Cricetulus griseus: one gene and its partners. The protein of the gene in region 1 purifies or fractionates together with the protein of each later gene. This does not show direct contact. Links are inferred from orthologs where the notes say so. Each region holds a gene or a part of one and is shown in the gene's direction. Other genes may lie near its edges.

Evidence for each region.
Region 2: the proteins of Cd84 (region 1) and Sh2d1a purify together in Homo sapiens (affinity purification with western blotting; 4 studies listed by BioGRID and IntAct, with this or other methods). This does not show direct contact. The link is inferred for Cricetulus griseus from reciprocal best matches to the Homo sapiens genes CD84 and SH2D1A.
Region 3: the proteins of Cd84 (region 1) and Sh2d1b purify together in Homo sapiens (affinity purification with western blotting; 3 studies listed by BioGRID and IntAct, with this or other methods). This does not show direct contact. The link is inferred for Cricetulus griseus from reciprocal best matches to the Homo sapiens genes CD84 and SH2D1B.

The regions. Positions count from the first base shown.
Region 1 is NC_048598.1:20,956,766-20,960,887, reverse strand, and holds the start of Cd84 (SLAM family member 5), read left to right. Parts: upstream 1-1,262; coding exon 1,263-1,274; intron 1,275-4,122. UniProt on the Homo sapiens protein: Self-ligand receptor of the signaling lymphocytic activation molecule (SLAM) family.
Region 2 is NC_048604.1:25,494,393-25,498,044, reverse strand, and holds part of Sh2d1a (SH2 domain-containing protein 1A), read left to right. Parts: intron 1-3,449; coding exon 3,450-3,591; intron 3,592-3,652.
Region 3 is NC_048598.1:22,545,538-22,549,189, reverse strand, and holds part of Sh2d1b (SH2 domain-containing protein 1B), read left to right. Parts: intron 1-339; coding exon 340-502; intron 503-2,403; coding exon 2,404-2,441; 3' UTR 2,442-3,652. UniProt on the Homo sapiens protein: Cytoplasmic adapter regulating receptors of the signaling lymphocytic activation molecule (SLAM) family such as CD84, SLAMF1, LY9 and CD244. In SLAM signaling seems to cooperate with SH2D1A/SAP.

The DNA.
Region 1 (4,122 bases):
GTCAAAAAGTGAGGAATTTTGTTTTATTCAAAGTTTAAATGTATGCTAATAGGAAAAACACTAGTAAAGCAACAGATGGTCATGTCCCTGCCTCTGTTTGAGATTTTGTGTTTGATTTCAATTTTTAAAGTATTGATTCAGAGTAACCTAAATCTTAAAAAAAAAAAAAGATTATATAAAGTAAAAATATCTGGGAAATGGTATACTGTTATAAAGGGTTGTAGGCTTCCTTTAAACTAACAAACAAAATTGTGACTCAGAATTTCTATAATTATGGAGAGTGACATAGGATTTCTGTTGCCCAGCCCTTTCCTTCCTCGTTGCTCTCTGTAGCATGATAAATAAAAGACCCAGAGACTGGTATTGGGGTTCAAGCTTCAAGCTGAAGATCAGAAAAGCAAAGCAGCCAACCCCTGCTTTGTTCTTTTTGTTGTTAAGAGGTGGCTCTTACCTCTACATCAGAATGGGAGGCCATCCTGTCTCCAGCAAACCTCAGACTGCAATCCCAGACTGCTATGCTCTCCTCAGCATGGCTGGAGAATCCTGATACTCACTACTGAAGACCCTGGTCCTATCTTTTATACCTCTCTAGTGCTGGGATTAAAGGTGTGAGCTCTGTTACTCTTTTAGACTGATTCAATCTCTTGTAGCCCTGGGTGGCCTTGAACTCAGAGAGATCCATCTGCCTTTGTCTTCTGAGTCCTGGGATTAAAACTGTGTACCACCACTGCCTGATCTCTATAGCTTGAGGCTGACTTTGCCTTCTGAATCCTCAGGCAAGCGTTAATAAGTCATAAATAATATATCACCACAGCTCTCAACATCTCTTGAGTTATTTTGATTAATATAACTGATTCTTATTTGAGTGTTGAATACTCAAACTATATCTGTTCATCCTCCCAGGTCTCAAACATGGAGGGAGTTTCTAGCCACACTGCTAACTCTGGGATGGAGAATAAAAAAAGGATAGTTTAGCTACTGCCCCACCCCCCAAGAAACAAGAACAAACAATGCTTATTTAAAGAGCCATGAAGAAACAAAGGGCAGCAGTGAGTGTTAAGCAATAATTCAACCGTCCCTACTTCCTCTCAAAATATCCTTCCTCCTCATTCCAATGTCCCAACCTTTTCTTTTTCCTTCAGAGTAGTATAAAGTATTATTTTAATCCCTTCAACAAAGGTTGTTTGTTTGGGGGGGAGAGAGGGAGAGAGAGAGAGAGAGAGAGAGAGAGAGAGAGAGAGAGAGAGAGAGAATTACGTGCCATGTACATGCAGGTACATATGTGGGAACCTTCATGAACACCTTATTTTTTAAGACAGGTTCTCTAATTGAACCTGGAGTCCACTGATTCAGCTACACTGGCTGGCCAATGAGCTTTCAGGGATCTGCCTATCTCTCCCCCAACACCCTCCCCCCACATGGTGCCCGAGTTACAGATGTGTGCTAAAGATCTAAATTTAAGTCCTTGTGCTTACAAAGCAATTGCTTGACAGACTGACTCATCCCTCCAGCCTCTTATTTATTTTGTATTTAAGAAACAATACAGTGGTCAGGATATGCCAGCCCACAGATATTAGCTTCTTTAGCTCTCGTGACACTTTTTTATTCATTAATTTGTTTATCTTACATCCCCATTGCAGCTTCCCCCCTCTCCTCACACCCATTCCTCCACTTGCCCCCCACCTCCACTTCACTCCACCCCTCCTCCATAGTCTCTCAGAAAGGGCAGGCCTACCATGGGCATCAGCAAAGCATCTCATGACACTTTTAAGAGGTCAGTGTTATTACTAATGTCACTGTAAAACTGAGGGAACTGAGGCATGAAGGGGTTCTAACTTTTCCTAGGACTGATGGCTAGTATTCCATAATACCAGCAGTCACATCCAGGAAGTCATGTTCTTAAACAGCAGGTCAACAGTGACTTAGAAAGGGGCAGGCCAAGGATGTTCCTCAAGACAAGACTTCCTGAGGGTCTCTTAATTCTCCTCAAAATGGAGGGATCTGTCATATAATCTAGTCCTCAAAGTAGCTCAAAATGACAGCTCTGCTTAGTTTCATTTCCCAGGCAGGATTCTGAAACTTAGCTGGTTCAGTACATTCTTAGATGTCTAGCTAGTCAGCCGTGAAGGGAGCAGGCAAAAGCACCTTGGCCGAAGTACTGTCATTTTGACTTCAGACTCTATTTTACCTGCAGGGTAAAATGAAGTTCAAGCTCCCAAGCCTTAGGGGAGCTGAGATCTTTCCAATGGCTGACAGACCTCCTCCTTAAGTAACAGAAATAGTCTGTTATGTCCCTTAGTTATCTAATACATTATGGCTGTTCCTAACAACAAAAAGAACAAATGAATTTGATTGGTTGGACTGAGAAACTCCCATTTTGTGTCAGTTGACCTTGATGGAACACACAAGGAAAGTCCCTAATCTTTGGCTTCTAATTGTGAAAATTGTATCTGTAACTTGGCAACAAATGTTTATGATTTTTGTGTCTATGAACCCTGCTTGTGCACCTGCTTGGTGCTGTCAGGAGAAACCAGGATCCCGAGTCCTCGTCCGGCAGCCCTGATTGATCAGTGACCCCACTTAAGGGGTGATTTATTAAAGCCTTTGAAACCCATAAGTGTCTCTCTCCTTCCTGTGGATCATAATGGACTGGTTGTAACAAGCAATACAGCCTGGCATGGATTATGTTTCTTGATCTGCAGTTCAGGGCACTGTTGTTATGTTGTAGGTCCCCATTCTATAGATTTATGTGGATTTTCTTTGAAAACAAAGCAGATATCCCAGTAAAGGAAGCTACAATGTGCTGACTGTCCCTTCTTATTAATCAGTTTAAACTTTGACCAAGACCCAAAGGCCGGTGAAAAGTTCTCTCTGACCCTCGTTTTTAGTTTTTCTGTTGGATTTCCTCTCCTGTTGTTTGTTTTATTTCATATTTCTATTGCTAAATAGAGACAGTGATTATACCCATAGCAAGAAAGGGTATTTGTGCTTATTCTCCACCCCACCCCCAACCCCAAGAACTACTTAAAAACCATCCACTGGTTATAGGAGAAACATTAGTGATGAAAACAAGACTCCGCATTAAAGTAGGCAGTGTTTCGGGAAGGGGGACTGACAGAGATCAATATACATATTTGAGACCATAGTAATGTCATCTGACACAAAAAGAAAACACGAGTGGGCTGTTTTAACACTGGTGGTCAGGCGTTGGAACATAGTCCACGAATGAAGCTGTGTGAGGAGCATTATTAGTGCTTGTGAGAAAACAGAACAAGAGTCCCATGATCTCAGTCTCCAAAGCACAGGATTGTTCTTGGAATGTACTCTTGTGCCCCTCCTAGGTGTAGCAAATGAGAGAGGATTTGCTTCAGATTCCCCATTGCATTTACTGTTGTTCTCCATCCAGACACAGTTTGTCCTTGTGATTATATATAGCTTGAACTTGTGTACTTTGCTTGTATGATGATCTTGCTTAAGGCTCAGAATAAAAATGATCTGAGGCCAGGTGGTGGTGGTGCATGCCTTTAATCCCAGCAGAAGCAGGCAGGTCTCTGTGAGTTCAAGACCAGCCTGGTCTACAGAGCAAGTTCCAGGACAGGTTCGGAAGCTACACAGAGAAACCCTGTCTCCAACAAAACGAAAAGAAAAAAATTATCTGAGGCTCTAAATAAAGTTAACTAACTATTGCATGAGACTTTAGTCCGCCTCATTCTTAGGCTCCATTCTCCCAGCTCCCAATGCTTTTAGAGTGGGAGGGGTTAGAGACAAGACCTACATAAGGTGAAGGTGTGCTGGAGAACAGAGCAGATACGTGCTCTGAGGTGAAGCGCCCTGGCCTATAGGGCTGTCTTGCCTGCCCAGGTTCCCCCTCCTCTTCCTCTCTCTCTCCAGAAATCCCATCTATACCTCCTGCCTAGCTTTATTACACCAATCACAGCAACACGTCCTCACACCGTAGGGGTCCAATATGGCCTCAGCATCACTGCGTAGTCATAGGGAAGGGCCATGCAATCTTTAAAATGTACATTGGTCATGATCAACACCAGGAATAATTCACTGTAGTTTCACTTTGATATTTAACACAGCCCCCCCTCCCCTGCTCACATTACATCGTTTGCTGCT
Region 2 (3,652 bases), on another chromosome or scaffold:
TGTGTTTCTTAAAAAATCTGTCACTGCAAATAAATAAGCAATTTGATTTATTGTGAAGAAGAGTTGTATGTACCTGATATATGTAAATTTATGTATGGGTTGGTCACAAATAATCCTCTTCCCTCAAACAATACCCTTCAGCTGAGCAATACAAATATTTTTATGGAAAAAATCTTTGATATTTTTGCGATTTAAAAAATTAGTTCTTTGAGAATTTTGTATAATATGTTTTGATCTTATTTACCCTTGTCCTCCAAGATCTGTTCCTCTCTCCCAATCCAGGAAATTTTGTGTACTCTTTGTTTTGATAAATCTGTCTTCTCAATTTGTGCTGTCCAAATATTCTTGGATGTGTGGCCTTCCTCAGAAGCATGATTGATTTACCAGGGGCTATTCTTTTAAAGAAAGTTGGCTTTTCTTCTCCTGGTAGCTATCAATTGCCAGCAGCTCCTTGCCAGAAGTGGGAATTTGTACACACCTCCTCTCTTCATGCTTGGATTTGATCTGGCTTAGGTTGCACAGGTCTTGTGCGTGTTGACATAACCACTGTGAGTTCATATGTGAAGCTGTCCTGCTGTGTCTGGAATACATTGTTTCCTTGTAATTTTCCACTGCTTTATACTCTTTTCACTTCTCTTCCTCAATGATCCTTGAGCCTTGGGAGGAAGGGATGTGATATGGATTCTTAGACACATTTTATAATTCATTTTCTTCCATTTCGCATGTAACATCATAGCACATCATTACATATTTGTAAACATTTTCAGAGGAGGGTCTATTGAGCATAAATATTCCTTATCCTATTATCTGATTTGACCCTCCTTATATAATAATATTGTAATTATTTGCACCATGAGAGCAGAAGATTGTCTTGGGTTATCCCCAAATGGGAAATAGGTAAAAACATCTTTGTTTCATGAAATGCATATTGCATTTTTTCTGTCTACAAAATTTGCCTTCTTGTTAAGGTGAATATTAAAGTAGTGCACAATTCTCAGAGCTCAAATCACCTGGCTGGAAGAAAGTTCTCCAGAGTGTACTGAAGATCAGCTGTGATTCAAAACGTGTTTCCATGGATAATTAAGTGATGGCAGTATGGGAAATGCTCAAATTTGAACAAGAACTGAATTCACTGACAGGATAGTAGCCATGATGCTTTTTTGTGTGTGTGATAAATGTCTTTCCAAAATGTGGTAAGTGGCTTATGTACTACTTTCAGGAAAAGCATTTTAGTTTGACATACCATAAGAAAAGGTCATGTCAGGAACATTCTAGCCTCTGTCCTTAGGTAAGTTTAAGACATGTTTTAGAGATGTGATATTAAATTGAACTTTGAATCTATTGGATTATGAAAGAAAATATTCAGAAAATTTCATTTTAAGTAGAACATTACTGAGGACATTAACTTAGTTCCTGGAGGCTAAAGTTATGATGAATTGTTGATTATCATTTATTAAGTATAGATTGTCAGCAATTCATTGTCAAAAGTGTACTGTTCTCTCCCTCTCTGCCAATTTCTGTGCTTTTGGGCTTTTCTGGGTAGTTGGTCACCAGGAGATTCTTAGCTAGTAAGTGAATTACTTATTAGCCTAAGCAAAGCATCATAAATTAGGTCAGTCATTTGCTAAAGAAATGCTGCATCTCAAGTTCAAATTACTTCTCTATGTCCAGTGGTAATTGTCTTCTCTGTCAGCATTGATAATCAAGTGTTAACTATCAGTCTCCATAGAAATGATGCCTTTGTTGAAAATACATGTATAAGCCACAAGAAACAGCCTAAATGAAGTGTGGTTTCAAATGATTCCCCTCTGGGGAAATATGCAGTCTCTCTTCTGGCAGGTGACCTCAGCTTCACTCGAAACTACTTGGTCTAGTCTTAATCTGAAAGGAATGCAGAGACAATTCTGCTGCTTCTGATTTATGTGTGACCTCAACCTGCTTATTAATTTACTTCAATGCAAGATGATTAGGTTACATGTTTATATCTGTGAAATGAGAATAATTGGAAGAATCAATATCTTCCAATTCACGAGGAAATAGTGAACGCAAGAGATGGGAAAGTGTTTTGAAAAATCAAAAAATGCCCTAAGGAAGAAGTAAGGAGGTATTTTGTAGCCATTTGCACGCCTTTGTAATTTGCAGCCTCTGTCTTGAAGCCAAAGAGTTATTTGGGTCTCTGCGAGAATGGCCATGTTATTTTTAGATGAAGCCTCAGCAGAAAATTAGGTCTTCTGATCATAAGAATAGGGATGGGTAGGAGACCATTTTCTGTCCGTTGACACTGGATAGATGAACACTAAATTACAGCTAAAGAGAACATCTACCATGTGTTTATATTGGAAAACTCCCTACTCACTCCAAAGTAGGCAATGACCAAGAGTAACTTTGGATAGTCAGTTATCTCGAGTTTAAAGTCCAGTTGACAGAAGTCTGTGTGCCAGCCTCATATTTTCTCCTTAAATGCTAAAAACCAAGCAGTTCCCATCTCAAAAATCTTCCAGATGGAATAGCTGAAAAACAACTTTCTAAAAAAAAAAAAACTAGAAAGAAGCAAAACTAGTCATTGTTCAATTGCTCGTAGCAATACTATTTTATTTTCTGTAAAATGACAGTTTTGAGCGGGTGCCTAAAGCACAGCTCATAAGCTTTGTGGGGAATGTTGATTTCAGGCAGTGTCCTTGTGAGAGCACAGATGTCAAGGAAAGAATACATTCTTAACAGCCACCTGCAAATTTGATCTCTTTAAAAATGAACAAATACATAAATAAAGATAAACTTGTATAGTCTTTCATTTACATGTCATAGAGGAAACCTTGTCATGGTGCAGGGCTGACTATGCAAACAATTTGGGCAAAGAACACAAAATTAACATGAAGGATGATTCAGTATGTATTATGACGTAAAATAGTATATGCATCGGCCAGCCATGCAGTTGTGTGTATCGTAACAGTCACTTTTTAAATTTCCTGTGTAATATTTGATATTATAAAATGAGGATGGGGGACATGTTGTTGGTTGTTGTTTTGATTTCTCAGGCTTTTTTGTTAATGACCTGTAGGATCTATACATTTTTTTTATGTTTAACTTCATCCCCTCTGTTGCTGAATTCATTGTGGGTAATGGCCTGTACATCCTTAGAGGTTCAGGATGTATGACGGGTAGCAGTCAGGAAGGGCAGGGCTGTGAGAAAGAGCTTGTACAAACTAGTACTACCCTTGGGAGAACTGCAATGACAGCTCATTAGCTCCTCTTGCAAGGAAATTCAGCCAAGCAAAGTAAGCTCTTCTGGATGTTGTTTTCATTTCTTCCTTATGTTTTCAAATATTTGAGCAAGTTACACAAATGTTACCTCTCTGAGCATCCCTCTCACATGTTATAGGTCTTTTTCTTTCTTTTTTTTTTTAGCATCATGAGGCAAATGAATACTTTTTTCATCTTTTATTTTCCAGACAGCACCTGGGGTACACAAAAGATTTTTCCGGAAAATAAAGAATCTGATTTCAGCATTTCAGAAGCCAGATCAAGGCATTGTAATACCTCTGCAGTATCCAGTGGAGAAGTCCTCAGCTAGGAGTACGCAAGGTACCACAGGTGTGGACACCTGCTTAGTTTTCAAACACTTGGGAAGCTTAGATTTAGGGGGTCAACCTAT
Region 3 (3,652 bases), about 1.6 Mb from region 1:
ATTGACCAAAGGCCAGCAGCATGACACAGTCTGACAGGGAACTAACTACAGTGAAGCTACAATAAGAGCCAGTCCAGACAAATTGCCAAGGATGGGGCTCACTCAGCACAGTGACTGGGGAACTTTTAAGTAAAAGCCCCCTTTATACAGAGTTGTTTGGGCACAAGGTTCCTCTTCAGAATGAGGAACCTCTATGAAATGCTGTTGGTAAGAGCCCTAGGCCTGAGCTGCTAGCGTCTTACTTTTCGCTTGTCTCTCGGGCAGCCCTCAAAACCACTGTTGCAAGAAGTGTCACATTTTAACCACAGCTGCGCAGTGACCTTTCTTATGTCTTTGCAGACTGTGGAAGGTGCTCCAAAACAGATCTTTCCGAACCTAGAAGAATTAGTCTCCAAGTATGAAAAGCCAGGTCAAGGTCTGGTGATTCACCTTTCAAACCCAATGATGAGAAGCGGCTTCTGCCCAAGAGGGAGAAGGATGAAGTTAGAGATGAATGTTTATGGTAAGAGCCCTGACAAAGGGTCAGGAGGGACCCCGAAGCCTGCGTCCAGCTCTACTCTGTAGAGTTGATGGAAATTGCTGACTTGGTCTAGGACATTAAAGAGCTTCATCTTGCTAAGTGCAATTTCTACTGTACTGAGAAACAATATCTCCTAGCCCCTGCAAGTGGCCAAGACATAGAGTTGTCTGTGCTAGGACAACCAGGAAGGCAAGGAAAGGTCCTGACCAAAAAGCTGACTTGGGTTTCATTCTGTGGGCATGCGCAGTCCACCATGGTAATAAATGCACATGTGGGCAGGTTTTCACTGAAAAGACTCATGTCAAATCACCCACCAAGGCTTATCCTATTACATTTTGTTCAATCTTTGCTAAGCATTCATTTATAAAATGATCAGGGACAAATTATTTCATATATATATATATCCCTAAAGGTATGAAGCCACCGAGACACGGCGGGGTGGGGTGGGGGTGGGGGTCAGCACGTGTGAGGAAAGTCTGTTCACAGCACTCTCAGATCATATTTCGAGCTTACCCTCATCTTCATCATCTGCCCATTGCGGCAAATTTTGAATTAAACACAGACATGCAGAGACGTTTCTGGTCCCACCCAATCGCTCATGATGAAATGTGTGGTTTCATTTTGTGTGAGAGGGATTGCAGTTGTCTGTGGGTGGCAATGGTGATGACAGCAGATCTACTAACTAGGGAGAAAGATGAGAGGGCACGAGCTCTCAGGGAGCCTGCCAGCATCCATGCTATTCTGCCTGAGCAAAGTCCCTTTTTTCGGCTGCCGTGGTAAGCTTCTCATTTCTCTAAAAAGATAAAGCGTGAGATTTTAATGACTAAAATAAAACCTTGCCCCCCTAACATTACTTCCAGCCATTCATCATCATTCAGGGGATTGTGTGGACAATACAATCTGATAATTTCGTTTAAGTCCAGCCACAGATATAGCCGCACTGCTCTTTTCCATCAAAACTTACAGAATTAGGAAGTCTGAAAGGGCTGGAGAAATAGCCCGGTTGGTAAAGTGCTTGCCTTGCTTGTGTGAGGCCCTAAGTTGGATCCCTAGAAATGATGGCTTTGAAAATCTGTACAACGTGGCACATGCTTGTAATCTCAGTGCTGAAGAAACAGACACAGGTAGATCCATGGGGCTTCCTGACCATCACACCTGGTGAGCTCCAAGCCAGAGGAAGACCTTGTTTCAAAAAATAGAGTAGATGGAGCCTGAAGAACAACATGTCAGGCTAACCTCTGACCACACACAGGCACCCTTGTGTAGATACACCTGCATACATACCTATATACATGCATGCACACACACACACCCAAAGGTATTAAGGGGAAGAAAGCATAAAGGTGTCAAAGCCAGACACTTGTGCAAATCAAGATGAGTTGCTGGGAGTGGCTGGGATGGTAATACTTTTGTCTGAGGTATAATGAAAGGCTACTAAATCCCTGGAAGAGAATGGGCTTGGGAGAGGTCTTTCCCAAGAACTGGACATGGGTCTGGCCACACCAATTTTCCAAGCATAGTCAGACTTGGTAGAGTGTGCTCCACGTACTTAGCTACCAAAGGGGAAATGCCTTCCCTTCCTCTTGCCTCCTCAGAACCAGCTCCATGCAGAGCTACTCTGACGAAGGCATGGGATTTTCACTGGTGAAGGTAGACACTGAGTACTAGAAACTAAGGATCCACTTATCAAAAAGCAAAAACAAACAAAAAACAAACAAACCCTATTTGTCCAAGCAAGTCCCTAGTGCCACTGCAGCCTTTGAAGATGTCTCTTTGATGTGGCATCAGCACTGCTTTGTGCCTGGTGTCCTTTTCCTCGAGTTGGGATGGCTGGTGGGACTTCTGGGTGTGGCATCTCATGGCTGTCCTTTGCTTTTCCCCAGAGAACACTAACGAGGACTATGTGGATATCTTGCCTTGAAGACAAGGACATAGGACAAAACAAGCTAAGGGAGGGCTGAGATGGCAGAGCTCTCAGCGGCCACCACCTCTGCAAGTGTCTATCTAAAATGCCAACTTCTAGAGGGCCTCTGAGACCCTCCTGACCTGGGTAGCAGGATCTTCTCAACTGAAGCCTTGGAGAAGTCCCTTCCCACATGTCTGACTCCTGGCACACTCACAAGAAGCTCCAAAGCCACCGTCACCTGTTACTCTCCTATCTTGGAATTGGACAGCCGGAATCCAGGCATTGCCATTGCATCCTGGCTGACAACATCTAACAGGACAAAGGGAAGGGCAGCTTCATAGAAAGGAAACAATACTCTGTAGTAACTTCAGAGTCCCCAACCTGTGTTCTGTGACTTTTGGCAAACCGCCCTCTCTGGTGTGGTTGAGTGGTTCACACACACTAACCTGGACCCTCTGTTGAGCCTGGTTGTCCCAGGTGGAGCTGGCGTCTGAGCAGAGGAATCAAGGTCTAAGGATGCTGAAGAAGCAAACATGTCCTCCAGCTGTGGAGGTCTTGGTCCTGATGAGGGCTGTGACCCACCAATGTTCCCTTTCCCTCTCGTTTGACCTAGCCCCATCTCTTCAAAGGTTGACTTCCTGCCAGGCATTCCTCTGGCCTCGGTTTTTCCTGATTTTCCCCAAGTCTGTATATACAGCAATCACTTTGTCAGCTCTGCCTTTTGATAAATGTGATAATAATATTTATTTTATTATTATTTTTTATTAGCATACAGAGAAATGGGTTTTATTCTGACCTTTTTATATCTATAAATCATTACACTTTGGGGGTCTTTTTTTTTGTTTTTGTTTCTTTTTTTTTTTTTGAGACAGAATCTGAGTCTAGCCCAAGTTAACCTCAAACTCTAACTTTATGCCTCAGCCTCCTATGTGCTGGGGTTACAGGTGCATGCGATCTCTGTGACCAATATGCTCTTCTTTCTTGACCTTCCCCTGTACTGCCCCATCCTTTGCACCTTGCCGTGACACTCCTATCCCCAAAGAGACCGCCTTCTGCCTATATTTCATTGCCTTCCTTCCACTTTAGACCTCTTGCTCCTGTCTCATAGTCCGGGTTTCTGAATTTTCATGTCCTCCATACATATGTATTTATACATATAAATTTAAATCTGGATCTTACATATGAGAAAAATGTGGTTTGTCCTTCTGAATCTAATAAACTTCACG